Linked DNA regions of Xenopus tropicalis. The protein of the gene in region 1 purifies or fractionates together with the protein of each later gene. This does not show direct contact. Links are inferred from orthologs where the notes say so. Each region holds a gene or a part of one and is shown on either strand. Other genes may lie near its edges.

Evidence for each region.
Region 2: the proteins of asic1 (region 1) and pick1 purify together in Homo sapiens (affinity purification with western blotting; 3 studies listed by BioGRID and IntAct, with this or other methods). This does not show direct contact. The link is inferred for Xenopus tropicalis from reciprocal best matches to the Homo sapiens genes ASIC1 and PICK1.

What each region holds. Positions count from the first base shown.
Region 1 is NC_030678.2:148,611,776-148,616,072, reverse strand, and holds the start of asic1 (acid-sensing ion channel 1), read right to left. Parts: upstream 2,842-4,297; 5' UTR 2,763-2,841; intron 1-2,762. UniProt on the Homo sapiens protein: Forms voltage-independent, pH-gated trimeric sodium channels that act as postsynaptic excitatory receptors in the nervous system, playing a crucial role in regulating synaptic plasticity, learning, and memory.
Region 2 is NC_030680.2:128,871,755-128,875,620, reverse strand, and holds the end of pick1 (PRKCA-binding protein), read right to left. Parts: intron 3,393-3,866; coding exon 3,259-3,392; intron 3,078-3,258; coding exon 2,985-3,077; intron 1,907-2,984; coding exon 1,856-1,906; intron 1,374-1,855; coding exon 1,229-1,373; intron 852-1,228; coding exon 613-851; 3' UTR 565-612; downstream 1-564. UniProt on the Homo sapiens protein: Probable adapter protein that bind to and organize the subcellular localization of a variety of membrane proteins containing some PDZ recognition sequence.

The DNA.
Region 1 (4,297 bases):
ATGTGCTATTTTTATATTAGAAATCAGATATGACCCCAGTTTATCTCTTTGGTGAAGTACAAAAACCACAGTATTCTTCACAGCTTGCCTGTTATTTGCTATAAAAAATGTGCCCAATTGCCCTATTTCAATATCTATTAGAAAATAAGTCATAGATAATAAGTCAGTTAACCTGTATCCAATGTCCATAAATTCTGGATAATGTACTTTTTTTTTTTTTTTTTTTTGCATTATCTTTGCTCAGATGATTTTTAAAGTAGACAGGGCTGGTTGGTCACAAAATGTGAGAACAGTATGTTTGTGAATCTTATATTTTCAGGACACTGGACCCTGCGGCTTCTGAGGGAAAATAAAGTAAATTGTCACCCTAGAAGATGAAATATTACCTCTCCAGCACAAACCGAATGAAATACTATCGTATCTCTCTGATCCTTCTACCTGGTTAGTCAAGGACAACAAAGTCACCAGGCTGATATGGAATGTTATAGATACTGTTCCCAGCAACACTCCATATTGGTAACGATGACAAAAAACCTCTATAATGTATTTTATTAAGTCACAGTTACAGTACCTAGGAACTAGTAGGGAGCCAGAGTTCAAGGGGAAACTCAAATGACTTTTGGGAAATGCACCAAGGCTCTAGTAAAGCCCATGCATATGACGTGCATAAAGTAAGGACCACATAGACTTTAAAAAGGGAAGGGTTAGGCCATCTTGGAAGGGGGAGTGAGGATGAAGTAGGGTTGCTACAAGCTGTTTGGTAAAAATTGCTTTCAAGAAGGCAGCCCTAGAAAGAAGAAGAGAATGGGAGGAGACAAAAAGTGGCGAAAATATGGCCTGGAAACAAACAGTTCATAATGCACAACACACAAGGAAAATAATTGACCAGAGCACAGAAGAAATACAAGTAATTTTGAGTCCCTGATAGTTAAGTAATACTAAGGAAAGAGTTATTATTAGGAATTAAAGATAATTAGGGATCAGTGCCTGGAATACAAAGGGACTAAACCAGTAATATAGCAGAGACCACAAGGAATGATCAGTTATTCTAAAGAATATTCCCATCTCCCAAGGTTCATTGTTTCAGTAATACACTTAAAATAAATAAAAACTCTAAACATCCAACAGGAAGTCTTACAATAAATGGAATGGATAGTGTTTCATGCAATTTATCAGAACTTATTGATTGCCATCATAAACTTGTGGTTACTACATTACCCTCATACCTTAGGGATTCAAAAGACCAGTGAGGACTGATACTCTGTACAGAGGATTAGAACTGGGAAACAAGAGATGAGACATTGCTGGACACAAGTAATAACTAAAATATGTTGGCGCTTTATAAATAAATGTTAATAAATAAATAAAATGTATAAAAACATATTTCCTACATGGACACAATAGGGTGCCAAATAAGCAGCTTGAAGTACAATACAGTTTACATAAGACAGTAGTTGTTTTTTCTTTAAAGGTGTGTTTGTACACCAAAAATCTGGGGAACTGTGTTAGCCCAATATCTTTATTGAGGGCTAAAATCTCTTGTCAGGTGATTGCACTGTAGGTCTAAGGGGGGCTGTTATGGATATTTTAAAGCCACATTTTTGGGCTAAATGTGTAAAAAAGTGTGTGTAAAATCGTAAAAAGAAATGTGAAGTTAATTCACAATACAGATTTTGAGTACAGTCCAACTAATTTTAATGCAAATGGAATGTAAGTGTTTGGATTGGTGGAGAGGACTCCCATGCAGGAGACTACAGGACAAAGCTGTTCAGTATCCTTACATACTACAGGTATCGGGCCCCTTATCCGGAAACCCGTTATCCAGAAATCTCCAAATTACAGAAAGCCCGCCTCCCATAGACTCCATTTTAATCAAATAATTCAGAATTTTATTACTGATTTCCTTTTTCTCTGTAGTAACAAAACAGTATCTTGTAATTGATCCCAACTAAGATATAATTACCCCTTATTGGATGCAAACAATTAATGTTTTATTGATTTTTTTGGTAGACTTAAGGTATGGAGATCCAAATTATGGAAAGACCCCTTATCCGGAATACCCTTGGTCCCGAACAGGGGCCTTCTGCCTGCATGCAAATTAGGAAAGATTCAAACGTAATTAAAGATGGCCATGTGTTCCAAAGTGCCCATCTTTCATTTTTTTTCACTGGTGGTGCAGCTTCACTGATGTTGATCAGTAGAGATTAAGGGGATGTGCTGCTTCTGTCATCTACAAACAAAGTACAAAGACTGCCCTGTGCATTAACCAACCAGGGACGGAGTGGACAGAGGGCCAGTGCCAAGGGCTGTGCTGGATATAAATACAGAACTGACTATGCCATAATGTACCGAGTACTCTGAGTCTCCCCATCCCACTGCAGAAAATCTCAGGTTTGTGCCTCATGTTAGTGCCTAACTGTGCTTTAATGCAGCTTAACTGTTGCAAATTTGTTATAAAGCTTTACTGAACATAATAAAACACCACTTGATCACGAGTGCACAGATTCTTATAATATGCTTTTCATATTATTAAATGCATATTGTTTATAGCTATGATTTTTTGGTGTAGAATGACCCATGAGCAAACTGGGTTCTATTTTCCCTTTAATTGTTTTACAATGTTTTGCCAAATATGGGCTCATACGATACCTTTGCGCACATACAGCTCTGACTGAAAAAATCTATAAAACTAAGTGCTCTACTTGTAGAAACAGAATTCTATTAGGTCTTCCCTGAAACATTTGTTTCTACCAGTCACTTACCATACATTTTGCAGCGGTAATGAAGTTAAAGATGTGCGCCCAGAAACACGGAATGGCTACCTTGGCCCTATCTGTTAAGGTTTCCCATCAGGCAGGTACCAGTGGGAATTAATCTGCTCTGGCACGCAAACCCCCCACCCTCCCAACCTGCAGACAAAGCAGTCTCACATGCTCGCTAATTGCCCATTATAACATCAACACTGAACTGCTAATGACAACAGCTCTTCAGGGTGTTAAATGAGGGATACGAGAAAGTGATAAAACTGTTAAAGAATTAGGTAATAGAAAGATTGGCTTACATGGTCTCTAGTACATTGAATTACCTAACGTACATGTGATGTCAGCCAGATGCAGTCCCCTTGGTTTGGGCTGCCACGCTTCCTTGCATCAGATTCCCTGTAGTATTAGTATATTCTTTTGCCTGATTTTGCACTTACTAGTAGACACAGAGTTTTCTACTGAGGCAGCGTATTACAAAACTTCTGAGATTCCTTAGGGCTGTACAAGTACAACAACCAAATATTAACGGGTCCAGGTTTTTCTGGTGGGCCTCAGGAGTTTTTTGCATCAGAACCAGTATTTCTGGGCCCCTTTTGTAGTCTCATACCAACAGTGAACATGGGCAGAACCCTCTCTGTTACATGCAGTAACACACCAAATAACTACTTATTGCACCAAAGACCTGAAGTGTCAGGCATCATCCATTTTTCAAAATATTGCATATACAGTGTAGTGCTACAACAGGAGTGACAGCTTTAATAATAAAAGGTTCAGCCATACTGGAATAATGGCGTTCTATAGAGTTGAATTGGATTGAAGCCTCATGTAAAAGTAAAGGTGAAGTCATGCAGACCTAATAAGCCATAAATGAATGAAGTCTCAAAGGCTGATGCCTACCCCATGCCTAGGGTAGAGGAACCAAAGGTTAGGCCTGTTAGGTACATGTCAACTCTAGGGGGCAGATTTACCAAAACACGAATTTGAATCCCGAATGGGAGAAATTCACATTGGAAACGTAAATATTGTGACTTTTGTGACATTTGTGATATTGTGACACAACATTTCGTATTTTTCGCGACTTTTTCGTATGGAATGATAGTAAATGCCGGGAAAACCTTTCTGACTTTGCATGATTTTGGAAGCCTCCCATAGGACTCAATGGCACTCTGCAGCTTCAATCTGGCCCAAGGAAAGTCACCATACCGATGCTTGAATGAATCTGAATCTTTCGTACTCGGCGCAACAATATGATTTTTTTAGCGACGGCGATGAAAAAGTCATGAAAAATACGTGCAAGATGCGAAAAAGTCGTGATGGCGCTGAAAAAGTCACAAAAATACCGATCATTGCGAAAAAAATGCATTCAAAGCGTTTGTGGGTTAGTAAATGTGCCCCTAGGTCTTACTAAAGGTTATTGGCAGGTACCTTTAATGGCCAAAGGAAAAGATAGCTTTTTCTACTCCTGAGGGTGTTTTCCATGTGGATCTAACTACATTTTAAAGGTTTATAGACTGCATCCTAAAACTCCATACGCC
Region 2 (3,866 bases), on another chromosome or scaffold:
TACCTGGAATGCAACACAGCAACAACACCAACTACCCATGGGGATTCATGCTGGAAATTAAAATGATCAGGAAAAAAAAAAAAAAAAAATACAGTAACAGGTGACAAATTGCCTGTCCGATGTACAGAATGTTTGAGATTAAGTAGAGCATTTCTGCACAACTTTATGGGAACACCTACAGAACTGATTCAGTGATCTCAGCACAGCAGGATACATAGGGTACAGTTCATATAGAAGGAGTATCATTGTAACATTTTGAAGAAGGAGCAACTATAAAACTTATGGACCATGGAAACAAAGTCCTAATTCAAGAAGGAATAAGGTGAATGATGAAAATTGGAAGTTAGTAAACTGGAAAAGCAGGCACAGTGTGCAGAATCTTTTGAAGGCTCAACTGAAATTACTTAATTACAGATGATTTCTTTTCATACCAACAATTCCAATACAGTTTGGGGGGGGGGGGGGGGATCATGCCCTAGACCACGGAAATCATCACCTCACCAGCAGAGAATGCGTTCCCTGGCCTTGATATAGGCAGTGTCAAAACAAGAAAGAGAATAAATGTAAACTTCATGTCACGTCTCCTTCATTTCTCAGGGTAAAAACAACTTTCTATGCATCGTCAATCAGTTTCTCCCCATTCTCTTCTTCATTTCTCTTCTCAGCCTTCTCCTCTTCCTCCTCATCTATTCCATCAGTAAAGGTATCTCCCTGACCATAGGCAAGAGTTGTTTTAGCCAAGTCCACCTCAATAGGGAAGATGTCGGCCTCCTTGAGTACTTCATAGCACTGGTCATTGTATTTGGACATTGCTGAAACAAATCGTTGCAGCTGGAACACAATATCGTGCACTGGAAAGAACAAAAGCATAGTGAGAGTTAATGGGGCAAATCTAGGAAATTCAGCTAGAACAGTGACACTACATGAATGTAATGTATATGCAATCAGCTGGCCAGGCTTAGGGATCTGGCAAACTTAATTTAAAAGTTATTCCCTTTTTCAACTAGAACCTTTAATACGATTTGCAATTTGTCCCTAGTCTATGGTAAGAGCTCATCATGATCCAAGAGAAAAAGGTGGACATTTCAATGTCTGAGCCAGAGAGTTTTTCATAGTACGGATCTAGCACAGATGAACTTTGTATGTGGCCAAACTAGTGGCAGGCAAAGGCTGTAGGTTTCCCATGACTGGTCTCTATACTACCATCTGGGAATTCCTATACACTCACCATGTTTTTGGTCAAGCAGTTCAATCTTCTCTAGGACATCTTTCCTCATCTTTGCAAAGCGCGCGCGTGCTTCCTGTCGGCACCGCAGAATGAGCCGATACTCATAGTTCCCGGTACCAACACGATATAGGGGTTCTCCCAAGGCCTGTAAAAAAACAGAAAAATACATTAAAGGGGAACTCTGGCTTCTGAACCAAAATTTGTTTGAGCCCCACACATTTCATTTCAAATCCTGGCGGGTAGGAGGGACTGTGATGTTCCTTTCCTTATTGACATCAAGTGTGCAGGGAATTGTGTGATTTGGATAAAGGGGAACAGAGGGCCGGGCTTAGGAAACTGTTCCAAACCATAGTATGACATTAAAAACAATGATGGTGCTGCATATTTTTTAATTGATTTATATTGCAAAGTTGCTTGAAATTGTATTTACTTTTCAAAAAGCTTAAGTTGTGTTTGGGTGGCATTCCCCTTCATTTTAGGAAGTTATGATAACTTTAGTTGTATTATAAAAAGCTCAGGATGGCACGTCAAGTGCGGAACAGTACACACAGCCTAAGGCTTTTGTCACCCCAGACAGGAAAACAAGTGTCTGGAAAGAAAATATAGGTAAGTTTAGGCAATACTCACAATGCTACTGTATTCTTCATCATCCATTTCCTTCACCTTCAAGCAGTATGACTAAAGAAAAAAACATTTTTATAAAACTTCAACATACACTACTGCTTCCTCCCTCACTATCCTCTGACAAACCCCAGGTCTGAACAAATAAACCAGCATGGAGCTTGCTTAAAAACAAAATTATCACTCATACACAAGGTTTGGTAGACTCTAACAGAATCAAGTCTAAAGCAACTGAACTTTGATTTTTTTTATTAAAACATTTCACCAAGCTTTGGTAGAATGTATATAAAAAAATAGCCATAGCAACATAATTGTATCGTTTATACAGGAGCAGTTGCCAGCTCCATGTTGAAACTACAGTCAGGTGATCCCAGCGGAGCCAATAAAAGGAGGAACCATTTGGGAGGTTTAACCTTGAAGGCAAGCAAGTTGCAGGTAAAACAGTCCCTGTGTAAAATGTATAATAAACAGTAGAATTCGTAATGAATTAGATGAAAGTGAGAATTTGCTATAATGGTAATATGTGTTCTCTGCCATGCAATGGACACTGATAAAGGAAGCTGTAACTGACCGCACAAACAAATCTGATACTCATATGTAGTATGTGCTTTCTGTCTGGTATTGTCCCATTAAGTATAAACAATTGGGAAGATACTCCAGCCAGTCAGTTGGCCACAAATCACAGTGTGTGCAGCAGGGATGTCCCACTTACCTGACTCACTGGGGCTCATTTATAAATACTGGGCAAATTTGCACCTAGGCAGTAACATACAGCAACCAATCAGTGATTTATATTTTTTAAATCAACAATGAAAGAAGACTTCAAATTGGTTGCCACAGGTAAATGCCCAGGTGCAAATATAAAGGACCCCCCACTGTAGTGTCACTGAGGAGTTCCGTGACCATATACAAGCATAAGGGTCAATAGCCAAGTGCTATGGAACTCCGAGGTGACTTCTAATATCCTCATATTTTACAAAAGAGGGTACATTATTTATTATAATACACAGGTTTCAGCAAGTCATGTGAATGAAATTACATATCTAAACACCTATTATAACAGCTGACATCACTAAGCACTTTGTATAAGGATATAATTTACAGGGAAATCATGGCACTCGGTTTATGTACTCACCAGATATTCAAATTTCACATCAAGGTATTTCCGGATGGTGAGCTTGGTGTCAGGAATTGCTTTATTAAGGTAAGTGTTTAAGTCACTCAGCATCTGTTGGGAGAGACAGAGAACTCAGGGCTGCTAGTAGAAAGTAATGCCCTCCTACACAGTCAGAAGCTTTGCATCATAGAGATTATTCCATAGTCTGACATTGTTAGCAATGCATCCTTTAGTATAACCCTGCCCAGAGCAGGATAACAATAGCATATGATTGGCCAATCACTACTCATACCGGTTTTATGGTCTTTAGAAGGCCAATTCCAAATTTTTCAATGCTGCGATGTGCGTCTGCAAACTTGACAAAAGCTTCACTTGCAGCCGGCTGTGGTTCCCGCACTCCGATGACTGAGAACACATCCCCGAAAGCTGCAGCAAAAAGATTTCAGATAATGTTACACGTGCACCGGTTATCACTAATGGTACAAAATGCAGAGCAAAGCAACAGGACAGAGGAGTATGTGAACACAAAGTCAGTCAAGGGGAACTTCACCTGTACATTAACTATCGATAAGTTTACATAGATCTATTCTAAGCAACTTTTCCCATGTCATGATGTTTATGGGGTGGTTTTTATTACTAAATTACACTGTGTACATTGCAATTTTTATAGCTGTTATACCAGTGTGCAAGCAGCCTTATCAGCAGATTGTGCACGATCCTGAGCTTTCAGTATGAACCAGCATTGCACAAAGACACTTATTTGAGAGCTACCATTTCTCCTATTCAATAATATCTGGATAAGTCCTGGGGTCCTGGTTCTGTTTCTTCTGCTTGTGTGCAACTCTCATATCTACCACTAGGTGGGGCTCGGAAGCATTTTTAGCAAGGCAAACAATTTCT